2 linked regions of the Notamacropus eugenii genome follow. The protein of the gene in region 1 interacts with the protein of each later gene in a pairwise test. Links are inferred from orthologs where the notes say so. Each region holds a gene or a part of one and is shown in the gene's direction. Other genes may lie near its edges.

Evidence for each region.
Region 2: the proteins of KASH5 (region 1) and GPR25 interact in binary tests that used the Homo sapiens proteins (3 or more experiments, as listed by UniProt). The two-hybrid records come from large-scale screens. The link is inferred for Notamacropus eugenii from reciprocal best matches to the Homo sapiens genes KASH5 and GPR25.

Annotation. Positions count from the first base shown.
Region 1 is NC_092876.1:12,584,145-12,592,204, forward strand, and holds the start of KASH5 (protein KASH5), read left to right. Parts: upstream 1-4,864; 5' UTR 4,865-4,902; coding exon 4,903-5,090; exon of another isoform or gene 5,091-5,172; intron 5,173-5,926; coding exon 5,927-6,033; intron 6,034-8,060. Other genes in the region: DKKL1 (dickkopf-like protein 1), read left to right, coding at 1-24, 552-845. UniProt on the Homo sapiens protein: As a component of the LINC (LInker of Nucleoskeleton and Cytoskeleton) complex, involved in the connection between the nuclear lamina and the cytoskeleton.
Region 2 is NC_092873.1:439,827,920-439,835,857, reverse strand, and holds the start of GPR25 (probable G-protein coupled receptor 25), read left to right. Parts: upstream 1-4,882; 5' UTR 4,883-6,623; coding exon 6,624-7,938. UniProt on the Homo sapiens protein: Orphan receptor.

The DNA of each region.
Region 1 (8,060 bases):
GGGAATGTGGAAGATGATTGGAAGGTCAGAGATGCTTCTGTTGCCCAGTAAATTTCAGTGTTGGACCTCTGTGACTTCTAAGGAGAAAGGATGGGGGAACTCTGAAACACGCTGTCATCGAGGATGGGGAAGCAAGACCCAGGAACAAGTTCATGTTGCTCTCCCCTTTGTCTATGCCTCTGTCTCCCCAGTAATCAGGGATGGGAATGAAAGAAATGGAGGGAAGTAGGTGGGGAAAGTGTCAGGAAACCTCTTCCTGTGGAAGGGAGAAGCAGAGATCAAGGCCAAACCTCCAAGAAGCCTAGTCCCCCTTCTTTCCTTTTCTTGTAACTTGTGAATGCATGGTCCCAGTTGGAAGGTCCAGAGCAGTAGGGAGAGGGAGCAGAAGCAGAAATAGGAAGGAAGAGATTAGGACTGGCCACAAAGGGTAGTGAATTCACCATCCTAGGAAGTCTAAAAGCAAAGGCTCAGTGTGAACTTCTCAAGATGATGCCCTGCTCAGGTAGAGAAGCCCCTTTCAGCTCAGAGACCTTGTGGTTCTGTGGTTCTAGGCAACTGATGAGGAGGAGAATGAACCTGCCCAGACACTCCGAAGCAATGAACTGAGCAGCTCCCATGCCGAGGCACAGCCCAAAGTGGCTTTCTGGATAATCAGCCTTCCACGTCGGATGACCCGGACTGAAAGCCGGGCTGGGAGCCGCTGGGTCAGTGAGAAGCGTCATCGGCTTCAGGCAATCCGGGATGGACTTCGGGAGGGAGCCCACGAGGAAGCCCCCTTGCGCCTTCGCCCTGTGCCTCACAGGGCCCATTTTCTCTATTTCCTAAGGCCCCCTCGGCAGCTGTAGGCTCCAGGGTTGGCAAAGAGGCAGGCTGAGGGCAGATGAGAGGTGAGGATGCCTGCATCGGCCCCTCCATCCCCTCGAAAATAAATAAAAGTTCTATCTTCAGTGAAAACAGCATCAAGGCTGTCTGTCATCTCCGGCCAGTCTCGGTCATAGCAAGGCCCTGGGCTCTTTCATCTGTCTCTACTCTCCTGTTCCATCACTGCAACCTGAAGTAGAGAAAGTTCCTAGATAGAAATCAATAGACTTGAGTTCTCGTCTGACCTCCAGTGCTTTGGGCTAGTCACTTCTCAGATTGTCAGTTTCACCATAAGTAAAATTAGCATAAGGAGATTTGTTCAGCCTAGAGGCCGAAGGGCTACCCGAGCCTTTCTTACCTGTCGTCCAGGTCTTCGGAGATCAGCCGGATAAACGTGTTGAGAGAAGAGACTTTCCAGAGTCGAACAAGGGTTAGGCTTTATTCAGGGTCTTAGTTACATGTGCAGGGTGAATTCTTCCTCAGGAGAGAGGAATCCTCCTCCTCCCAAGAGGCAAGGATCGTACAGCAAGAGGATGGGAGCAGAAGAGGGGGGGACCCTCTTCCCTCCAAGGGCCCCTCAGCACGAAGAGCGCCTTCAGGCTTTCCTGTCCCTACTTAAGCTCTCCCGCCGCATAGTTTGCACGTGGATACCATGCATGCTCTCAGCCCCTAGCTAGTCAACAACAGGTGTGCTCAGACCACGGGCCAATCTCAAGGGTGGGATGCTCTCCCCAGCAAGTTTCCCACTGAGAAGAGGTGGAAATGCACGAGATAGCCCGTGTTTCATGCCTCAATTCCCAGCTGTTCCCTGGGGGGCCTCATAAGAACTCTGAGGTTTAGAAGTCCTCACCTTTACCTGCCCGACACTGTCCACGTGAAAACTGAGCTTACACCCCCAACAGAGATTAAAGTTTTCCTCTAGCCAGAAGATACCAGGTGTAGGTGTGGGTTCATCCTTTGTTGCCTAAGAAGACCATGCCATCAGAGAAATGATGACATGATTTACATTTGACTTTGTTTTCAGTGAGGGAGGGCTGTGCAGGTCACCAGCCTCAGTTCTCCTCCAGAGCCTGAATCCAGTGACCAGAGATACTCATCATGATGACTGGAGATATGACCCAGGATGAGGCAATTGGGGCTAAGTGACTTGCCCAAGGTCACACAGTGAGTGTCAAGTGTCTGAGGTGAGATTTGAACTCAGGTCCTCCTGACTCCTGCACTGGTGTTCTATCCACTGCACCACCTAAGTGCCCCTAAAAAAAAGTCTGAGACCAGATTTGAACTCAGGAAGATGTCTTCCAGACTCCAGGCCCAGCACTCTACCCATTGCACCACCTAATGCTCCTTAGACAGTTGATACTCACTAGCTGTGCGATCTTGGGCAAGTCACTTAACCCCAATTGCCTCATCCTGGGTCATCTCCAGTCATCCTGATGAATATCTGGTCACTGGATTCAGATGACTCTAGCGGAGAAGTGAGGCTGGTGACCTGCACAGCCCTCCCTCACTCAAAACAAAGTCAAGTGCAAGTCATGTCATCATTTCTCTGATGGCATGGTCTTCTTTCAACGAAGGATGAACGCACACACCAGGTGTAGGATCTGAGACACTCCCTCTCAGTCTCTCTAGAAAACAAACAAAAAATGACCTCAGGGTAGAGCAGGGTAGACTGGGTCACAGCACCCAGTCAAAACCACAGCTCCAGATTCTCCACAGACTGACTTGTTTACTTTTAGCAAAGTAAATGCATTAGTTCAGAATAAAATAACTTAAGAAAATACAGGAAGGATACAGTCTCCCATAGCTTACTGCACCAGTGGTGAAAGATAACACAGAAGTGAGACCAGGGCACATAAACGGGAACATAAAGAGAACCTATGTGAAAAGGTACATGCCCCAGAAACCCTTGGGGCCAGAGCCATTCTCAACCTATGGTTTTGCAGGGCTGCCTAAGTTCTCTCAGGAGATAATACTTGCTCTGCTAGGTATCTCCCCAGTTGTATGGTTGTATTTCAGCTCTTGCTGGGCAGCTGCTGGCTTTCCTATCTTCAGTGCAGTGATTAGTTAGCCTCTCCTTGACCGGGGCAGGCTGAGCTTTTTTATATATAGCCCAGAGCTAAACGCTGGAAATCACCATACCTAGCTAAGAACAGCCAAATAAAAAGCCAGTCAAAGTGGCCCTTTTCTAAGATCTTCTGTTGTTTAGAATGCTTGTGTCTGGTGTTAATGCCAAGTCTTAGATTCAGGATCAGAAAATTCCTTTCTAACCTAAAGGAACGAAAAAGGTAAGGTCATTTGCTTTCCATCCTCCTGACCTAATAATGCATCTCCTGGGTAGCACAAAACTTCATTTGCCCTACCTACCTGCCAAGGGTATTGGAGGAAGTGTTCTGTAAATCTTACAATGCATTAGAATGTGAGTTATTTCCAACCCCACTTCCTGCCCGTTATAATGGATCGTGCCTAGTGGTCCTTATCATTTGTGACCCTATAGAAATAAAATCTTCAGATCATCTCCAGTGCCCTTGGTTATCCGCTGTCATGTCCCTAGGACAGCCAGCCCTCTAAGAGAGCCTTGTGAAACATTTTGTCCCATTACAGAATAGTTGGTGTCCTACAAGAAGAGTCTTTTACAATTACCAGCATTAAAGGGTATGGCTTGGAACAGCTGTTTGAGGTGCCATAACTGGCTTGGCCACCAGAGGATGCTCAAAGTTAGTTTCCACAGCTCCCACCTGTGTGGGTGCACAAAGTACCTAGCAGTCTCACCTTCCCAGCCTCTTTTAGTGCTTTCTGAGTGGACCATGATGTAGAGATATTCCAATAATACATTTCTTGACGCATGCTCCATCCAACTGGAGTTCAGCTTGGTCCCAAGGAATTCACATTCAGCATATTGACAAAAAAAACCCCATTTATCTTGCAATGTAAAGCTGAAGAATAATACCTGAAGAGATAAAGTTCCTCCCCCACCCCCAACCCTGTTGTTGAACGTATCTGTTCACTTTCTCGGGGTAGGAGGATGATCCTCGGGGACCTAAACCTGGAAGGAGGAAGGGGAAATGTCCCCACAGTGCAGCCTGCCGGCTCCAGCTTCTCTGGCACAAGTGGTACCCAGCCGGCACCCCAGCCAGCACCCCAGCCGGCATCATGTCAGCACCCCAGCCAGCATCCCAGCCGGCACCCCAGCCGGCATCATGTCAGCACCCCAGCCGGCATCAGGTCAGCACCCCAGCCGGCACCCCAGCCAGCACCCCAGCCGGCACCCCAGCCGGCATCATGTCAGCACCCCAGCCGGCACCCCAGCCAGCATCCCAGCCGGCACCCCAGCCGGCATCAGGTCAGCACCCCAGCCGGCATCAGGTCAGCACCCCAGCCAGCATCCCAGCAGACCTTCTGGCTTCTTTAACCCTTTTTGAGGCTGATGCCCGCACCAGGAGGGTTCCCGGCGGGCTCCCCCGGGGCCATCCCCCCAGCCACCCCCAGCTTCTTCACCAGATCTCGTGTGGCCAATGAAACCAGAGGCTGAGGGGAGACGGAGGGTGGGGAATGCTTGTGGAACTGTTGAAACAAAGGCTGGGAAAACTCCCGTTATTCCCAAAGGGTCCCCGGAAATCAGACCCATTGGGTGAGTGGGAGTTAGGGGCTGCTTGTTAAAGGGGCAGGGTGCGAATTTGGGGAGGTGTCGCTTGTGGATGGCTCTGCAGGAAGCTGGGTAGGCCAGAAGGGGGAGCCCCCTTCCCCCTTTGATTCCCCCCTTCTCCACCCCCCACCCCGTACGCCCCAAGGTAAGGCGGGGGTGATTCTCTGTCTTGGGGGGGCCGTGCTAAGCTTAGCACTCAAGTGTCCTGAAGACTCCCTGGAAAGGTTTAGGCCCAGGCAAGATGGGGGTCCTGGCTGGGGGAGGGGGCAGGGGAAGAAGCGGGGATACTGACGGCCCCAAATGGCCCAACAGAAATTCTTTCCCCGCCCTCCTTCGGGCTGGACTGGGAGAGAGGCGAAGGAGGGCCTTTGCGCAGGCGCAAGCCTTGGCCACGACGCATGCGCATGGCTCGCCAACGGTTTGCCGAGCACTCCCTCCTGCGCCTGCGCCTTGCCTCGAGGAGGGGCGCCCGAGGCGCATGCGTACCCACGACTGCGGCTTCGACGGCAGGGGCTCGCTCATTCTGGCGGGAAAGGCTTCCGGCCCAGCTTCCTGCCAGTTGTCGAAGCCCAAGGCGGGCAGCAGGGTGAGGGGCGAGCTCCCCACCGTGACTGAGCCGGCCGAGGAGAGAGGGAGCCCCGAGCCTCTCAGAGAGGGCCCCCAAATCTGTGAGAAAGGGGACCCCGAGCCTGTCAGGGAGGGGCCCCCCAAACCCTGTGAGAAAGGGGACCCTGATACTGTCAGAGAGGGGCCCCCAAATCTATGAGAAAGGGGACCCCAAGTCTGTCAGAGAGGGGCCCCCAAATCTATGAGAAAGGGGACCCCAAGTCTGTCAGAGAGGGCCCCTCAAATTCTGTGAGAAAGGGGACCCTGATACTGTCAGAGAGGGGCCCCCAAATCTGTGAGAAAGGGCCCCTGAGCCTGTCAGAAAAGCCTCTAGTTCTATTATAAAGGGCCCCAAATAGTGCTGGTAAAATCCCCCAGCCTCTTAAGATACCCCCCCCAGATGTAGTCAGAGAGAGGCCCCAAATATCAGACCTTGAATGTTGCTGGAGACCTCAAGGATTCTTTTGGATGGCCCCCCACAACCCTACAGGAGTAGGGAGCCAGAGAGCCCCCCAGCCTCTTAGAAGGAGAGTGTCTCCCAAACCCTGGCAGGTGACCTCCCCTCCCAACCCCTTAAGAAAGAGGCCCCTGAGGTCCCCCCCAATCAATACGTGAAAGAACCCCAGGGCCTTTGAGCTCCCCCCACCCCCAGCGAGGCCTGGCCCAAGTGCTCTGGGGCACTTGGGGCACAAGGGAGAACAGGCTCTGGATAATGATCTGGTTCCACGGAGGCCAGCAGGCCATAATTAAGATGGAAGACTGAGGGGTACAGGCCGGGCTGGTTTCAAGCCTCAGTCCTGCTCTTTGTCCTTCCAGGGAAACAGTGGTGGCATCAGCCCCTTCCCCTCTTGAGGCTCAGGAGCCAGGTTCAATGGATACTGTGGAGAGCCAGGTGCCCAGACCCGCCAGCCTGACTTCAGAAAGTGGGTAACTCGTGTCCTCCCAGGGTGGGACTGGGGGGCGGGGGGGTGGGGGTCAGTGACGGGACCTCAGGATCCCAGAAGGGACTTGTCCCAACAGGTGGAGGGAGGCAGCTGACTCAGCTCGATGGGGTCTGAGGCGGGGTGCGAGGTGGGGATGGTGCAGGGAAGTCAGCTCTGGGATTCGAAGGAAGGAAACAGAAGGAGGAATGAAGCAGCTGACTGTGCTGCTCCCCAAAGAGGACGGTTCTAGAGGAGGCTCTTCTCCAGGTGGTGAGAAGGGCAGAGCACTAAGGCAGAAGTGTGGGTATGGGCGAGGGCCAGGATCCAGAAAGACCCCAGGGAGAAAGGGCCAGGTGAAGCAAAGGCTTAGAGGTGGGAGATGGACCCATGAGGTCAGGGTGGTACCGCTGGAGACTGGGGGTCCAAGCCAGGGGCTCCAAGAATCCTGGCCCTGTTTCTTTTGAACTGTGCTACCTTGGGCTCATACCTTATTTTGGCTGAATCCCAGTTTCCTTCTGAGCCAAACAAAACATTTTTACCCTTAGGTGAGCAAGTTACTTTCTCTGGCATGTAAATTAAGGAGTAACCTCTAATGAGTCTCAGGAGGAAGTGTTTAGGGGATGAACTTGGGAAGTGTGCCAAGGGCAGGGATTTTGTGGGGCCCAGATGCTGACCAGGATCTGTGTCCAGGTCCTATGGAGTCAAAGTGAACTAGTGGTTCCCAGCCTCTCGCCTCCCAGGTTCTCCCACACCACCCTGTGATGGGCAGCATTCTGGGGGATGGGCTCAGAGGTGAAAAGAGCAAAGTCTGTGGTCATATTGCTGGTGGGAGGCCACAGGCTCAAGGAGGAGGGGGTACCCAAAGCCAAAGGGGGGACTTCTAAAAGTGACCCAGGAAAGCAGCCTGTGTGCTGGACAGCTTCAGTAACCCATTCCAACCAGGGAAGACTTAAGGTTGTTTTCAGGGGTTGGAGCCTGGTTTGTAGAGAGAGAGGTGAGTACGCAATTTTATCACCTTCCCAGCTCACTTTGCAGAAGTCCAGTGGAAACAAAACCTCTGAGAGTTAGAAGGCCTGGGCTCTAAGTCCTATCTCTCTACTTGCTGGCTGTGACCTTGCCACTTAACCTCTCAGATTAACCTCACTTAACCACGCAAAGATCTGTTTTCCTTGTAAAATGGCATGTAGGCTAGCTCTAAATGCCTATGGCTGGTCCCCTTTCCAGTTCTAACACTAACACGCTGATCCCCTCAGACCAGGGAGTTTATCTAGGTGTAAGCAGCCCTGGGCCTGCAGAGGTGGTCCAGAGACTGCAGGCCTGAGCTGGGTGGGGCAGGAGGCTCCTGAGTCCACATTAGCCATGCTTCCCAAGCCCCCTGACCCCTGGAGTGGGGGGAGAGGAGCTCAGGGAGCATCTTTGCTGGGTCTCTGCCTGTCAAGTGTCTGAACCAAAGCCGACGTGGGTGCTGCTGGACCAGAGGGGAAGTGCTATCCTGGAAGTGATTGTCACAAACTGAGGGCAACCCTGAAATAGGGGCAACCCTGGGGAGGTTCCACCTCAGAATTTGTAGTAGCAGAGAAGAAAGCAAGGTATAGTGTGACACTTTAGATTTGGAAGAGCAGGTCAAAAATGTAGGTATAGGATAGGTAGCATGTCTTTGCATAAAATTCTGTAGTTGGTCCAGGAGGGCTGTCAGGCTCCTAAGAATGAAGTTCTGAAGATACAAAGGGAAACATTTCTGATAAAAAGGGAAAAAGAATGTCATGTAAATAGACGAAGGTCTTCTAAGAAAGCACCAACCAATTTAGATGTCATAAAGATAGCAGGGAATCACAGATGCCTATGGAATCATGTGATACATCAGGATTAAAGTTCAGAGTGAGCTGAGACTGGCAATCAATGCTAAAGACAGTGGAGATGGGATTTCTATCTAGAGGGAAAGAGGAGGACCAAGAAAGGCTAAGATCCGTACTGCTCATTGGGAATGGAATGGTGATCCTGGTGTGGAGGGGGAGAAAGCTACCCAT
Region 2 (7,938 bases), on another chromosome or scaffold:
ATGTAATGCAAAGAACCTCAAAATGAGCTGGATATTGAGTAATTGTAATGACTGATCTTGGCCCTCTCAGAGAGGAAAAAGCACCTCCCACTTCTAAGTAGAAGGTGGAAGCTAGGAATGCATATAACAATATGTGATTTTTATTCATAGTTGATTTTGCTTAACTGTTTTTCTTTGTTACAATGGAGGGCTGATGTGAGAGGTGGGGTGACCTTTCATTATATCTGAAAGTACTAATATAAAAACAAAGGCTATCAATAAAATTTGTTTTTTAATACCTAAGTATAGTTCTTACACCCCCCATAGGTCTCCCTGACTACCCTAGGAGAACCCCACCCTATAATTTGAACCCTAAACTTGTAGCAGGCAAGAGACCAGGTCCCCAGCAAGAATCATAACTCAGTGTTGGTCATATCTAGTTGTTTCTGTATTCTAAAACCATCTTCTTCCCCTTCGAAACTCATCTAACCGCTCAGACCAATTTCCCTAGCAGCTTACTCTCTACTCATTTCTGGCTTTCAGGATCACTCATGCTCTCTAGGTGCCAGATCAAACTTAGCCCATTCTCTGAATCTGAGAGGCAGGCAACTACACCCAGTCAAGTTGGCAGTGAGGAAGCAATAGGGGCTCTGGGTTCCAATTCTGCTTCTGACTCATTTTGGAACACTATCAGGCAAATATTTTATATCCATTTCCACATCGAGGGAATGGGGGCTGAAGGTAGTGGGTTCTCAAGGATGTAGAGATAAGCCATTAGTAACAATGAGACACAGATTTGTAGAGTTATGAATCAGAGAGAGAGAAGATTTGTCATCTTCTGAAGCACTAGAGAAAATTAAATGTAATCGATATGTGTAGGATTTTGTTTCTGGGAAGTGAAACACCATGAATAAGTTTGGATGCCAGCAAGAGGGAATAGCCATAGGGTCCCTTCCCATCGAGGGAGTTGGCATGGTAGCCTTGGGGATACTTCCTTCCTACAACAGCATCCCTAAATCTCACTGAGTCTTCCAGGACCTTCCCACCAACTTCCATCATGGTAAGAACCAAAGTCTCTGAAGGACAGCCACCCCCTCTCCTGTCATGACTACCAAGATTCAGGCTCTCCTTCCACATTCCCACTGCCCTCCAACCCCAAATGAATCTTCCCTAGGCATAGTTACAGCTCTGATTCTTACAGCAGTTAATTTAGTTTCACCTTTAACCTTGTGGTAAGTCACCCCAAGTAGAAGACATATCAAAAAGACAAAGATTAGCCTATGTCCATTTTAGATCTCTACAGCCCAGGCCGGCTGCCCTTGCCTACTTAGCATGTGATAGGGCTGTCTCCCCTCCCTGTCAGTTGGTGTGGACTTTGGGAATGCAGACTCCTTTTAACACTAACCTGAGCAAACCATTCATATGATAGAGTATCAACTGAAAAGAATCACAGAAACGGATGTGCAGTGAGAGAGTCAGAAACAAAAACATTGTATCGTAATGATTATATAGTGATATTGCAACAATGGTGAAAAGAACCCTGATAAGAACTTCCATGGACTGACTGATGAAGAAGTCTTGCTAGTGAATGGGACTATATGTATCTAATTCCATTAAGTATACAAGACATGCATATATATGGTCCCATTAAATAAATACTATAGTATATATGCACATGCATATATGCACACACATTTTTGTTCAGTTGTTTTTAGTCTGACTCTTTGTGCCCATTTGGGATTTTCTTTGCAAAGATACTGGTTTGCCATTTCCTTCTCTGGCTCCTTTTACAGATGAAGAAACTGAGGCAAACAGGGTTAAGTGATTTTCCCAGGGTCACATAACTAGTAAGTGTCTGAGGCCGGATTTGAACTCAGGTCCTCCTGATTCTAGGCCTGGCACTCCATCCACTGTGCCACCTAGCTGCCTCCCATATAAGACTATATTTTTTGCCCTGGAGCTACCGTTGCCATTTCACTCTCCAATCTGGATCTACAGATTCCTTGCTCATGGTGGGCAAAGCCAATCAGTTCTGAACAATCTGGCCATTTTCAAACCTACCTGTCTCCCCTCCCATGCCATTACTCCCTTTCCACCTCTGGCTCTGAGAACTATAAGCATATCAGCTCTGCTTTTTGCCCTGGAAAGGTTCCGTTGGTGGAGTGCCTGCGTGTTCTGTTCACTGTCCCTGTGTTTCCCCAGACCATAACTCCCTTCCCTGGCCACCATGCCTCATCCCTCCCATTAGAATATAAGCCCTCTGAACCATTTATACAGTAATAGCAATATTAGAAACCAGGCAACTTTGAAAAACTTAGGAATGTCAATTGATACAATGACCAACTACAAATCCAGAGGACCCAAAATGAAACCTGATGCCCACATCCTGAGAGAAAGGTGATGGGCTTCAAACAGAGACTGCAGATTTATTTTTTTTGACATGGCCAATGTGGAAATTTGTCTCATCTGACTATAAGGCCTGTAGCAGGGTGTTTGTGCCTCTTGCTTTCTCACTTAGAGGTGGGTAAAGGGGTGAGGAGGGCAAAAGAGGATGAGAATATGAAAATAAAATACAATTTGATTTTAAGAAAAATGTAAGTTCCTTGAGGGCAGGGGCTTTATATGTATCCCCAGCACCAATCCCTTAATAAGCACCTCGTCATTTATTCAAGTTGCAAATCTATCAGCTGTGGTTGTGATCCAAGTAGCAAGGGTTTTGGGGTCAAATGGGATAGTTAGGTAAAGTGCCTCTTAAACCTTAAATAAATTCCAGCTATTAAAATTGGTGCTCATGGACTACCATCTACCATTCTGAATTATTCACATCCCTGTAATTAACATAATTGAGACTTGTCCACCCATGAGGGATGAACAAGGTCTGTGGTTCTGAGCATAAAACATATCACAGGTGAAGTTGGAGGAACCAAAGCTGAAAGGCACTTTAGGAGTCCAGTAATCCAGTTCCTCCATTTTAAAGCCAAGAAAACCAAAATACAGAGAGGTTGTGATTCCCTGGCCATCTCCATGATGTACATTTTCTCTCCAGTCTTCTCTTCCTCCTCCTTCTCCTGTGACAGATTTGGGAGCCTGGACCTAATCAGAGGACTTTCACTTGTATCTTACCCAGACCTGTGATCATCATGCATATACACTTGGGGTGCATGCCCCCTGTTATATCTCACCTCTTAGGGTGGGGTTGCGGGTGCTGGAGCCACCTCAAACCACTCCAAAAAACCTGATTGTTAAATATTCGCTGTGAGCATTTATACATCACAAATTGGCAAAGTATAAATCAGGGCTTGAGTTATTATTTTGTTCATTGTCTAGACTTAAGAAAGTAAAAGAGAAAAGGTTAATAATGCCCATTAGACATGTGTCGTACATATATTTTTTCCCAGAAATTCAGTGTTAAACATTTACCACCACACCTCTGCCCTTCCCCTACTGCTCTTTCCAGTTCTTGTTTACCCATCTATATTATCTTCCTCTACTAGAATGTAAGTATCTTGCAGGTAGAGACTGTCTTACTTGTACTTATACCTTTACACACTTTTAAAAAATAATGTCTGGTACATAGTGAGGCCAGCTAGGTAGCACAGTGGGTAGAGTGGAAGCCCTGTAGTCAGAAAGATCTGAGTTCAAATCTGGCATGTGACCCTGGGCAAGTCACTTCACCCTGTTTACCCCAGCTTCTCATCTGTAAGATGAGCTAGGGAAGGAAGTGGCAAACCAGTCCATTATCTCTACCAGGAAAGCCCCAAATGGGGTCACAAAGAATTGGGCACAACTGAAAAATGATTGAACCACAACTGGTGCATAGTAGGCATTTCATAATTGCCTTTTCATGTCATTGAATTACCCAAAGTCACACAGTAGTAAGTGTCAAAGGTGAGACCAGTTCTCCAGGAAGAAAAAATGTAAGTTTGACACACTTTTATTCATCTCCACTATTAACATTTTCTCTATGTCTTTCTTGTCTAGACAATCAACAAAACAATAAATCAAGCCCTAATTTGTAACTCTTCCCATGCTTGCATCTAAAAATGGAGTAACTGTTTCTTGTAAACTGGTTGGAGCTGCACACCCCTGGTAGTAAGTAAGCATCAAAGCTAGAATTGTAAGCCAGGTCCTCTGATGGCCAAGTCAGGGTGTGGCAAACGGACCTGGGGCCAGGAGGGCGGAGGCAAGCCCCCTCCAGGAACAATCCTTCCCCTCAGAAACGGACAGGGGAGCCCATTCCTGAGTAAGAGATGGAAGGTGAGGCAGAAGGGTCCTAAAATCACAGGATTCGAGCTGGAAGAGACTTCACATAGATCATCTGGGTCAATGGTTCTCAACCTTATCCAATATAAGGACCATATTTAATGCAAAACAAGACAGAATTTTATCTCCCTTCCCCTCTCCCTCATAGTAGTAGATTCCAATAGTATTGGAATCTGTTGATTGAGGAAAAAAATGAGGATCAAAAGTCAGGAGTTATATAGTGTGGTCTAGTGGAAAATGCATATGCTTCGGACTAAGATAACTTGAGTTCAAATCCCAACTTACTTGTGCAAATCATTTCATCTCTCTGGGCTTTTGTTTTCCTCAGCTATAAAATGATGAAGTTGGATTAGATGTTCTCTGAGGTTTCTTCCAGCATTATGGTTCTGCTATGAATTTGTTCATGCTTTTATGAATTTATTTGAATAATGTTATACAAATATATTGTATATAATATGTAAGTATAATATCTAAATTTAATGTATCTATAATATATAAATATTTTATGTATTTTAATATATTTATAATATAGTAAATTGTATTCATATTTAATATAAGTATAATATAATGTATTATATTTATAACATAATGTCATATCTCATATTTGATATGGTTATTATATACTAGATGAAATAATAATCTTAATTAATTAATTAGTTTGATGAATTTGAATGATAATTCATCATAACAACATCTGCCTACATTTGAAAAGTAGTAAGTAGCACCTTGGTATGTGAGACATTATTCAGGGAGATTCCAGCAGGAATGTCTATTTGCTATTTGCTAGGTTGAGTCGCTGACTGAGATGGATCCTTTGCAATCATTCCAAAGTTCACCACATAAGAACCACTGACCTAGTCCAACCCCATCATTTTACACATAATGAAACTGTAGAAGTGACTTGCCCAAGGTCATACAAGTGATATAGAGAAGAACTAGGATTCCGACCCAAGCCTCTGCCTCCCAATGCACCGCTTTCTCCACTATACCATCTTCCCTGTGCCTCTCTTAGACTTATGTCATGAGGGATCCTGACCGCAAATGGCTTCTCATCTTCAAAAATGGGAAAAATTTGTCAACAGCATCCAAGAATGACATAAGAGCTCCCTGACATTTCAACAGAGGACATTTGATTTTTTTTTTGAGGCGTTTGGGGTTAAGTGACTTGTCCAGGGTCACATATCTAGTAAGTGTCTGAAGCTGGATTTGAACTCAGGTCCTCCAGACTCCAGGTCTGGTGCTTTCTCTATTGTGCCATCTAGCTGTCCTGATGTTTGATTTTCTTCATTGGGTTTTCATATCCATAATTTCACTTGACCCTCAGAACAACCAGATAAGGTGAGGTCCTTATACCCATTTTATAGGCAAGAACATTTGGGCATTTTGAAGTACAATGAATTACCTAACAATACTAAGCTAGCTGGTAGCAAAGAACAGGTTTAGAACTCAGGACTCTCAACTCCTAGCACTGCATAGGTCTGTCCAGTTCACCCTCACCTGCTCAAGAAACTCCAGTGCTGCCTATCACCTCTGGGATCAACTTTTGTTTGGCATTCAGAGCCCTTAATGAGGTCTCCCCTCCTCTCTGACCCACTCCTATCACCTTTCTAGTCTTAACTTATATACCATCCTAATGACACTGGCCTCCTGGCTATCCTTCCAAGAAGATACTTCATCTCAAACTCTGGGTATTTTCTTTTATTCATTCATTTATTCATTCTTTTATTTTATTCATCCATTATTCATTCATTTATTTTTAGTTTTCAACATAAGTTTGAGTTCTAAATTTTCCCTCCTCTCCAAGACTGTATGCAATCTGATATAGGCTGTACATGTACAATCATAGTAAACATATTTCCCCATTAGTCATGTTGTGAAAGAAGAATCAGAACAAAAGGGGAAAACCCTGAGAAAGAAAAAAAAACTGGGTATTTTCACTGGCTGACTCCCATATCTGGAATTCTCTCCCTCCTCATCTCCACCTCCAGTCTTCCCTGGCTTCCTTCTAAAATCCCACCTCCCACAGGAAGCCTTTCCCAATCTCCCTTCCTTCTATTGCCTTCCCTCTGTGAATTATTTCCAATTTATCCTGTATGGAGCTCGTTTGTACATTGTTGTTAGATGTAGGTTGAACTCTCAAGGAGTTCAATCTCTGAGTATCCCCAGTACGTAGCACAGATTTGGCACATAGTAAGTGCTTAATAAATGTTTATTGACTGACTGTGGTCTTTCTGCAGGTGTGGAGAAAGTCCTCCCATCTCCTTTCTCTGAGTCTGGGTGTGAAATATCCCTAATATTCATCACTGTTCCATCTTCAGTCCTCCCTCCCCTTGTGGTACTCACGAATCCCAAGGTCCTTCAGACCAGATGCACTCAGTCAGATGGTTGGGTTAGCTCCTCTATCTTTCTCTTCTACAAGCTCTTTCTCCACCCACTTCTATCTCCACCCCTCTCCCTCCCTCCAACCACCTTCTTTAACCTGGGCTAGCAGGAAGGGAGGTGTCAGGGGAATGAGCAGTGAGGCAAACATCTTAAAAAGCTGCCCGAGATGTCATTTTAGCAAATCTAAGCCAAGGCTCAGGGTCCATCTAGAGAAGCTGGCCACCATGACAACAGAATCCTGGAGCCCTAGCCCTGGAGAGGGAGATGAAAACTATGAGTGGTCTGGGGACTATGGGGAGCCAATGTTCTGTCCCACTCCTGACCTCCCCTATGGCCACATCTTTATACCCCTCCTCTACCTGGCTGCCTTTGGGGTGGGGCTGGTGGGAAACTCCTTTGTGGTTTGGCTGCTGGCTTGGCAGCAGGGCCCGCAGCGGCTCGTGGATACTTTTGTTCTCCATTTGGCTGTGGCTGACCTGATGTGTGTGGTCACTCTACCATTCTGGGCCACAGCAGCTGGACTGGGTGGCCATTGGACCTTTGGAGAGGGCCTGTGCAAGGTCAGCAGTTTTATTATCGCAGTGACTCGATGTGCCAGTATCCTGCTTTTGGCTGGCATGAGTGTGGATCGATACTTAGCCGTGGTGAAACTCCTGGATGCTAGGCCTTTCCGGAACCAGGGCTGCATGCTGACGACATGTGGCGTGATCTGGACCATCTCTCTTCTGTCGGGGGTTCCCTCCTTGGTCTATAGGAAACTGCTGCCCATGCCAGTGGGTCCAGGCAGCCTGTGTGGAGATGACCCTGCTGACATCTTCCAGTGGCTCAGCCTCCTGGTCCTCTTCCTCACATTCTTCATCCCCCTGGGTATCATCCTTTTCTGCTACTCCCTCATCTCTCAGCGTCTCTGGAACCCTCCCCACCTGGGCCGGGGTAGGAAGAACTCCCTCAGGATCATCTTTGCCATCGTGGGCACTTTCACCTGCTCCTGGCTCCCCTTCAGCATCCTGAAGACCTTTTTCCACATTGCCCACCTGAGGACTCTGCCTTTAGACTGCTCACTGCTTCTGGCACTGCGCTGGGGCCTCTCTCTCTCTACCTGTTTTGCCTTCGTCAACAGTAGTGCCAACCCCATCATCTACTTACTTCTAGATCGATCCTTCCGGGCTCGGGTTCAGGGATCATGCAAGGGGACTCGCCTTCCCCTGGCCGGCAGAGTGAGCTCAACCTCATCTCTCTCAGGGGGAGACAGTTCTATATTCCAAAGTTGGCCCATGGGACGGGCACGGAACACCCGCCTGGCCCCTAGACTTT